2 linked regions of the Rattus norvegicus genome follow. The protein of the gene in region 1 binds, or shares a complex with, the protein of each later gene. Links are inferred from orthologs where the notes say so. Each region holds a gene or a part of one and is shown on either strand. Other genes may lie near its edges.

Region 1 (4,484 bases):
AGTATTTTAATATGTACTATCAGCATTAAGCAAAAATACTTCTAGCATGCGCTCAGGACTGAGCTAGGGTATAGCTTTATGAAGAATTAATTTGAAAAATTGCCTTTACTTTAAAGATTGGGAACATACTCCAGACCCTGCTCATTTGAAAAATCGGAAAAATAGCTATAGAGCTATTATATAACAGTAAAGAACACAGTGGGGTCCCTTGGATAATTTTTGGTTTCGGTGTACATCAATAACTGCTTCCGAAGGCTACCGAAATTCCTAAGAATATGAAAACGTGTGTATGAGAGTAGACAGCTTCATCCACAAAATTGTCTTAGTCAGTAAGTATTTTAACACAGGCATAGCACTTCAGAGTTTAGGGTGAACCAAAGATGTACTTTAGAGTGGTTTTTTTGTTTTTTTTGTTTTTGTTTTTGTTTTTTTTTATGTCAAGCGAAAACAACTTCTGCAAATGATTCTTTTCATGGCAAGATGCTAGAGTCAAAAACAAACGTGACATCTGGGGTAGGGGGAGCGTTAAAAGGAGGCTTCACAAGTAACATATGAAGGGAGTAGAGAGAATAGGATTTTAAAGCAGAAAACACAAGGAGAGGAAGAGATCACGGTTTCGTCTTTTTCTCTCCTCCCTCCACTTTCTAGCCTCACCAATCTGTTAGCCCCCCTCAAATTCAGAGGCGGGTTCAGCAAGACCAGGCTGCAGGAAACCCAGGTTTCGCTGCACTGCCACCCTGGCTCCGTGATGTAATTGTTATTTATTGAGACTCTGAACCCAGCAGAGCTGCTTAAAGAAGTGCCAGCCCATCTTCTAGTCCTGTTGGGTCAGATCCTTCCTGGGGGTGGTGCAGATTGGCGGGCAGACCCTACTGGAGACTTCGCAGTGACAAAGCAGCAGAAGATAAACCAGGTTCCTGGGTCCTGCGTCCGTCTAGGGAGCTGAGCTGTGCACTCCTCAGGTCTCCTTCCCAGTTTTCCGCTTGCAATCATGCCATATTTATTACTGGGTCCTACTAGGTGCTGAGGATGGGGTCAAAATGACCTAGAGTTATAGCGCCGTGGCTTCCGGAATTTAAGCGGGACACAGATTTCAAGGAGGTGGAAAATTGAGGGTGGGTAAAGGGCTCCAAGAGAACGCGTATTTGTGGGTTGAAACGGGAGAAAGGGAGACATTTAAGGTGCCAGCCCTTAGGTGGGGAACCTGGGGTAGGGTTAAGGCGCCCCGACTCCCCTTTGGTGCCCCCAGCGTTTGCCCCCGCAAGGGTGACATGGGCTATCGCCTGGCCCCTAGCGGGGAATCTGTCCAGGCGGCTGGCTGGACGCGGCTGGGAAGCCAGGGCGCCGGCTCGGGGAGCAAAGCACCCCCCTTCTCCGGTTCAACCGCGTCCTCCCTCTGCCTTCAAGGCCGCTCAGACCCGGACCCCCACCCGGAGCACCGGCGAGAAGGCCTGCAGACGCCGGGTGGGCTCCCGGGCTCCGGCAAGCCGCCGGGTGCGCGCTCCGCCCGGGTGACAATGGGAGGGAGGGGCAGAAAAGGGTTAAGAAACTTGGCTGAAGAGCTGAATGGCGTGGAGCAGCGAGGGGAGGGACCCGGCCGCCGCGAAGTCGGCGGCGGAGGGAGGAGCGCGGCTGCGGCGGGCGGGCGGCGAGCGAGGCGCTCAAAGTCAGCCTCGCAGACATTGCAGCAGAGCCCCGAACTCGGGAGGCGACGGCGACCGCGGCGCAGGCGGAGGACGAGCCGGCCCCAGCCCGCCGGTGCGCAGCGCCCGTGGCCTCGCGCGGCCGCAGGGCACGGCTAACCTGGGAAGGAGGGAGCGACGCGGATCGGCGGCCCGGAGCCGCGGCGGCCTCGGTGAGTGGCGATCGCGGCCCGGGCTCCGTGCGGAGCTCGCTGAGCGGACGCCGAGCCGCCCGGGCACGGCCTGGGTGCGCGGCCCGTGGAGGCGGCGGAGGCCGGGGGAGGCCCGCGGGGGGCTCCAGGGACACGGATCCCGGGGACAGCGCGCCGCCGCGCCCCTCTCCGGCTCTCCCCGGGAACTCGCGGGCCCGGCCGGCGCAGCCGCCAAGTTGTGGAGTTCCCAGCCGCGGGCTCGTCCGTGCCAGCCTTGGCGCGAGGGGCGCAGCCGCCCTGGGTGTAATGCGCCGGGACCCACGCGGGTGGCCGGATCGCGGGGCCCGGGTCGAGCTCGCCCGCCCGCCCGGCTGCCCCCGTTGGCCCCGAGCCCCGGGCGCTGGCTGCAGCCCCGCTCGGTCCTGCCGCCCAGCGGTGCTCGCGGTGGCGCCCGCGCAGCTCCCCGCCTATCGCCGGTTTCTCCCTTGCGCGGTGCTCGCCGATTCCCGGCCGGGAAAAGTGACTCGGAGAAGGGACAGCGCTGAGCCCCAGGCCCGGCCTGCTGGGCACGAGCTCCCCGCCTGCCGAGGAGGGCGAGGCCCCTTGCACCCGAGGCCTCAGCCCAGTTCCCCCAGCATCCGAGAGGGGTTCACTCGGGTGAGCCTGGTGAAGTCCTGAGAGACTGCTCTTCTCTCTGGTGCCACTGTCCTCCTTACTACTATTGTTGCTAGAAGAAACCCTCTTCCGCGGAAACATTCCCCTAGACCCTCCCATCCTTCCCAAAGTAGTTTCCAAATTTTAATCAGGAGTTGATATTCAGACGGAAGGAACAAAGGAATCCACTGTGTTTAAAAGGCGGACAGGCAGTGAGTCTGACACATGTTGATCTCTGAGGCATTCCACGAGTTTCTACCTTCCATCATGTCAGAAATTTAATTGGATTCTGGCGGTCGCAAACGAAGTATGAAACGTTAGGTAATTTTACGTTAAAATACTTTACTTTTTTAAATTAATGGATCATTTTAGTTAGAGGGAAGTCCGGACATTGTTAGGTGCAAGAACTTTTAACTCTTTTTTTTTTGATGGCACCAGGCTGGAGTTTGTCTGCTCTTGTAACTGATTGTGACACTGAGCGAAAACAGTGTTTTTAGAGAAAGAGAGACAGTCTAAAAGTAAAACAAGATTGGAGTGTCTGTGTGTCTGTCTGTCTGTGTGTATGCTTAAACGATGTGTAGTCTATCTCTTGGGTTTTGTAAAGCAGGGACTTCGGTAATTCATTCTTTAGAGTTATGAATTACATTGAACCCGCTTATTAGTGAATCATGGGTTTAGCAAGTGGGCGGCATCTTCCAGATGCAATTATCCAGTGTTTAATCATCAGGTTGCCACCTTTGTCTAAGAGACGGAGTCGACTTTTTAAGCAAACGGTGGGTGCTTCACATGCATGGCCCCTAAGAGTGGCTGCAGCCTGGGAAAATGTTGAAATCTTCCCCTTCCAAGTGAGTTGCCCTGGTTTGGCCCAGCAGTTTGTCCATAGGGTTTAATTGATCCAACAGGAACTTTCTGTGTAGGACTTAGTAGAGACAAAGGAGAGTCAGTCATGCCGCAGGCAATACCTGCAAACTGGAGCCTCACCCCAGCCTGTTCTATACTGTACTGGGAAGACTCCACACTTAAAGTACAAGGAGCGAGAAGAAAATATCCTTAAAAAGTATACTTCAAAACTCTAAGGAGGGCTTCGGTTGCTGCTTATATACAGGTAGTTGAAAACCAGCTTTCATGCCTACGAGAAGACTTAGAAATCTGAGTTTCCAAACTTTGCAGAACTTGGATTTTTGTAATTGAGATACCTGAAAATAATTGTGGGTTAGCAATGGAGAAATGTTTGTGGATGAGGCCAGGGCTCCTCTGACTCCTCCAGTTTTAAGAGCAAAACGTTGTGATTAAAAAAATAACCTATACCACCACCTAGAGTCTGTTTGTTAGTTTATTGCTCTTGGAGTTTGCTTACATTGACGTGTCCCTCGTGGTTACTGTATAGTCAAAACAAGATTAAGGAATTCAGGCTTTTCAGAGGCCATCCAGGAGAACACTTATTTAAGTAATGCATAGCAAGTGCCAATTTAAATTATCCACGACACTTTCAGAACCGAAAATTATGACATATCAACTCAAGTGGGCCAGTCTCCGAAAGATACTAATTCAAAAGAAAAAAAATTTAAAGACAGCTTCTTTTAGCTTGTGCTCCAAGGTGGCCCTGAGTGCAAAAAGATTTCCTGTGATACGAGAGATTCAAGAAATGTGACAAAATAAGTGTTCTCGGTGCCTTTTGAGGTTTTTTTTTGGGGGGGGGAGGGCGACAAAAGCGATGACAAAAGTATAGAGAGAGGGATGTTGCCATTACCAACATTTTAAACACTGAGAAGGTTAGAGAGACGGTAGACCGTCTTGGAAGCTGGGATAAGGTGTTTGGGAATACAGTCAGTGAAACAGTGATAACCTGTCCTACTGGAGGTTTGTGAGTGGCAAAGCAGTCTGTTAAACAGGAGGCCTGAGGGCGGCAGCCTCTACCCTTCTGCTTATCACATTGTCCGAGGAGGAAGTAACGCTCCTCCTCTAACCGTCTAGCCTGAAAGATGGCCTCCAAGAT
Region 2 (4,359 bases), on another chromosome or scaffold:
TTTCCTTTAAAAAAAAAAGTAACCATACCCACTATAATTTAGGCTTTTGTGATTATATACAGAATTCTTTCTTATTTTTATTCTTCATATTTCTCCATGATAGTATTACTTTGGGAGAAGTCTATCTCAATTCAGGTTAGCTCTTCCTAAGAATGCACGAATCAGAGAGGAAAATAAAAATCAACACCCTAAAACAGACAGAGGGACGCATACACAATAAAATGCACATAGCTCTGTGCAGGGATCCTTCAAACAAGAAACTGTTCAATGTTCACTGTCTGGATTTCAGTGATCAAAGCTGATATTTCCTAGACTGCCACCTCCTCTCCCTGCCCGTTCTGGAGTGTTTCAATTGCCTTCTTCCAACAGCTGTGACAACTGTTAAAACAGTCAGTAAAATTAAGTCCGCTCTATAATCCTGTAGTCAATGTTACATTTTAATCAGAGGTTGAAAGGGATTCGTGAGAGGAGCGCACTCATTTAGAATGATTACACAGACACATGTGTCAAAACCAGCAGATACATTATTTCCGTCTATTTATGTTATCAGCTATTACTGCTATTCAGTGGGAAACAAGCGTTACAGCATTGTGCTCTTGTAAGTGCTGGCGCCTTTCCTAAAATTAAAAAAAAATGTATGTACTTACATAGTTAGAGGTTAACATTTTAAGCTCTCTTAATGGTGGTCAATAAATTGCATGAATCTTTTTAACAGTCTCCTAAGCAGAGATGGTCCAATATTTTCCTTGGAAATTGCATAACTCAGGTTTCATTTCTGTGTATACACACGTGATGGGGTTGAAACCGGCACAATTACTATGAATATTAATAGCATGTATAAATTCTGCGGTTTATTAATTGAGACAGAGAGGCAGATGCATTCATTGCTCAGCCCTGGGTCTTTCGGTCTGTCCAGTGAACCACGTAACCACCACAACTGCACCCACATAATAAATCTGGATTTTTAAAAGATGACTTTTAATTGAGCCAAAAAGGAAGAAAGAAAGAAAGAAAGAAAGAAAGAAAGAAAGAAAGAAAGAAAGAGAAAAGCTAGTTTGAATCTTGCGCCAAAGCCAAAGGGCATGTGCCCTGGTTTCATTTAAATACATCTGTTCTAAGAGGCTTATCTAAACTAATTATTCAAATTAGGTATAAGAAGTTAAATTCAAGGAAACTCCTTTTTCCATGAAGCCTTCGGAGGGATATTTAAAGTTTGCTTTGTTTGTTTATTTGGGAGACAAAGTTCAGACTCTGGGTGAGCTTGAGGCTTTCTCATAGACATGAGAACATTTATAATTCTCCCATCCCAGGTGCACTGTGCTCGACTGGGCAGTCTTACCTTTGTTTGTGTTTCATTTTTTTTCTTGAGCATTTTAAGGCTGGCTCTCCCTCAAGTGTTTCGAACGGATGCAAAGACAGCCTCTCAGTGTTTCCGATCTTAGTCTCTTCCTGTGAGAGCGTGTGCGTACCGTACACTCACTCACACGCACACTCAAACACACACAGGCAGCCGGAGACTACAAGCGGCTTCTCGTGTCCCTCCCTTGATTACGATGCAAAGGGCAGTTGCTGAGGACAGCTAGTGGACTCTTACCACCAACACACTGGCCCAGCTCAGAGTTCTGTGCTTTCTTCACAGTCTATCAGGAGAAGGGTTTGCCAAGAGCGCTCTTTTAAAAATTATAGCAGTTGCTATTACTGTAATGTGAAAGCCATTTAACTGACTCAACAGGAAAGCAAAAGAGACCAGTGACAGCTTCCGTGGTCCATGGATATTTTATCTTAACAGTGGGTTGAAGTTAAGTTTATGATCTCCTCATTTACACAAAAAAAGCCCAATTTGCTTTCCCTAGTTCTGCTCTGGACCTTTAATGAGCTAAATATGTAGAATATCCAAGAAGTCATCCATAAATATCAGCGAACTGGGTTTAATTATACATATATATGTATGTATATATATATATATATATATATATGAACATGATCAACCAAACTCAGGACCTGCACATTGTCTATTTAAGGGAAGATTATTTTTTAAAGTCTCTACTGTTTCGTCTTCAGTTTTCTCCCCTTTAAATATTTATAATGTGTGAAAATCTCATGTTACTTAATGGACTGATTTGCCAGTTAAGTACTGAGTTAATGCTAACCACACAAATACCATTACGCTGGCTCTGAGCAGCACAGGGCTAGTTGCTAAATTGTTCTCTGAAGGAGAATTAATAAATGTACAATTTTGCCTCTAACTCAGCACGGTAAAGGGTGACAGGGAGTTTCAAATATCTGTCAAACTGCAAATACATAAGAGGCACTCAGTAGTATAAATCATTTTGAATATTGTATTTTAAAACATCTTTCCTAGGGAAAATGGATCTGGGTAAAAGATGCATTTTAACAGTTCACTGAGCATTGGTGCCCAGCGCCTATTCTTAGCACCTGAAAGAGAAGTGACTGTCACCCAGCTGTTTTAGTGACAGTCACAGGGCTGCCTCAAAGGTAACACTGGAGTCGGAGAACAATTCTCCACTTACTGAATTAGGAGATCACCCTGCACACAAAAGGCACCAGACAGACACCATCAAGCACCCACACGCACCGAACACCCAGGTCACTACGCTGATCCGTGTGCACACACGCTGCCCGGTCCACTCTCCCGAACACACGCACCCCCACGCCGAGTTGCAAAGGAAAGGAAAAAAAAAGGTACCTACTCTTCTTCGTAGTGCAGGGAAAAAGATTCAGGCAGGCAAAGTTCTACCGAATCCATGTGCGCCCGGCAACCATTATTTGTGTACCCCACCTATAAATCAAAGTTTCCTTGACAGAGCCCGGTGCAATTAACACACGCGTTCTCCTGGTGACAAGCCCATAGGCACGGCCAGTTGGGACCGAGGCTCGCACACTCTCTCCTAATCAAGGACTTAAAGCCCCGATTGGAGCTTATTAATATGAAGTAGGGCTTTACATATGCAGTCCCACCGGCCCAGGAGCGCCTCTGATTGGGGGGCCGCTGCCCAATCAGGAGGGAGGCGACGCGAGCCGCCCGAGCCGCAGCCTGCAGGTAGGCAGGGCAAACGCCTGCCCGGAGCACGGTGGGCAAAGCTGCAGCCGGCTGCAAAAGCCTCAGCGATCCGCAGCTTCCCCCTTATTATTCTTTTAACTCCTACCCCCACCCCCGAGAACCTTTAAAAAAAAATGAAAAAGAAAGAAAGGGGAAAATATCAAGCGTAACTAACTTAACTCACTCTACGCTGAAGAGATTTATGGTTGGTTTTCTAACCCCAGACCTATTTTGTTTTTGCAAAGAACTCAGGCCAATTCGATAAATTTGACCGAAGGACTCTGCTGTGGAAGGTGGGGAAGGAAGTTTATCTGGCCTTACTCTGTGTGTTGAGTTCTCCACCGGGGACGGCTGCTTTTTACTTACTCTTACTATTCTTATTATTGCTGCGTGTGTTCTGCTGTCTCCTTGGCTTCTGCTAATACCTTTCCTTGTTGTGTCCTAACCTAAAGAACATTTAAAATAAAATAAGACTTTCTTCGACATGGTTTCAGCCTAAAAGAACTGACTGGCCGAGCCCTCTGGGGTGGAAGGTAGCATCACGGAAGTACAGAAGAAAAGAGTGCACCGATACAGTTGGAGAGAGGGCCTGTGCAAATTCTGTGGGTAATATTCTCTCTCTCTCTCTCTCTCTCTCTCTCTCTCTCTCTCTCTCTCTCTCTCTCTCTCTCTCTCTCTGACATATGAGGCACACAGCCTTTCAAAACAAAGGTAACAAATTCAGGCTGCACTGCCTACTTCACTTTCCAGGTTTGAGGAGAAGACTGACCGAGGGCGGGGACAGGGAGCGGCAACAAGAACCTTAAATATCAGTGTACTTTGCACAAAATCAATATACGGTTGGTTTTTGTGGCAAGAACATGAAACAGTGTGCCGAAAGGATGAAGCATGTACTTATTTCAGTACAGGAGACATATTCATCTATGTGGATATTTATATTCGTATCTATATGTGAATGTAAATAAAATTATATGTAGATGTGATTTTATCCAAATATTTAGCATTGAGGTAAAGCACGGGTTATGAGCTCCTACACACAGCACACCTGGCTTATTTTAAAAAATTAACTCATCATATTTGCATGTTGCCCCACAGCTTGGCCTACAAGAAGCAGCTTCAGACAGATAATAATGTACAAAAATTATGGCCACTCAGTCAAAAGTATAAAAGACAATGTAAGAGAGAACAATGTTTTTCCTCTTACAGTAGTGTATGGGCTGCCTCTAATTCTCATATAATAAGAATATCTTTGTGTTCTATTTTAAACTATAGAAATATATATGTATATATATGTATAT

The links.
Region 2: the proteins of Nrip1 (region 1) and Esrrg are in contact, whole or in part, in a crystal structure (PDB 2GPP), measured with the Homo sapiens proteins. The link is inferred for Rattus norvegicus from reciprocal best matches to the Homo sapiens genes NRIP1 and ESRRG. Residues at the interface, in NP_001426204.1 of Homo sapiens: Ser378, Leu379, Leu380, Leu381, Leu383, Leu384, Lys385, Ser386, Gln387; in NP_001429.2 of Homo sapiens: Val277, Ile280, Lys284, Phe289, Leu294, Gln297, Met298, Leu301, Gln302, Lys448, Leu449, Glu452, Met453.

What each region holds. Positions count from the first base shown.
Region 1 is NC_086029.1:28,463,606-28,468,089, reverse strand, and holds the start of Nrip1 (nuclear receptor-interacting protein 1), read left to right. Parts: upstream 1-1,677; 5' UTR 1,678-1,855; intron 1,856-4,484. UniProt on the Homo sapiens protein: Modulates transcriptional activation by steroid receptors such as NR3C1, NR3C2 and ESR1. Also modulates transcriptional repression by nuclear hormone receptors.
Region 2 is NC_086031.1:102,094,604-102,098,962, reverse strand, and holds the start of Esrrg (estrogen-related receptor gamma), read right to left. Parts: upstream 2,939-4,359; 5' UTR 2,768-2,938; coding exon 2,712-2,767; intron 1-2,711. UniProt on the Homo sapiens protein: Orphan receptor that acts as a transcription activator in the absence of bound ligand. Binds specifically to an estrogen response element and activates reporter genes controlled by estrogen response elements.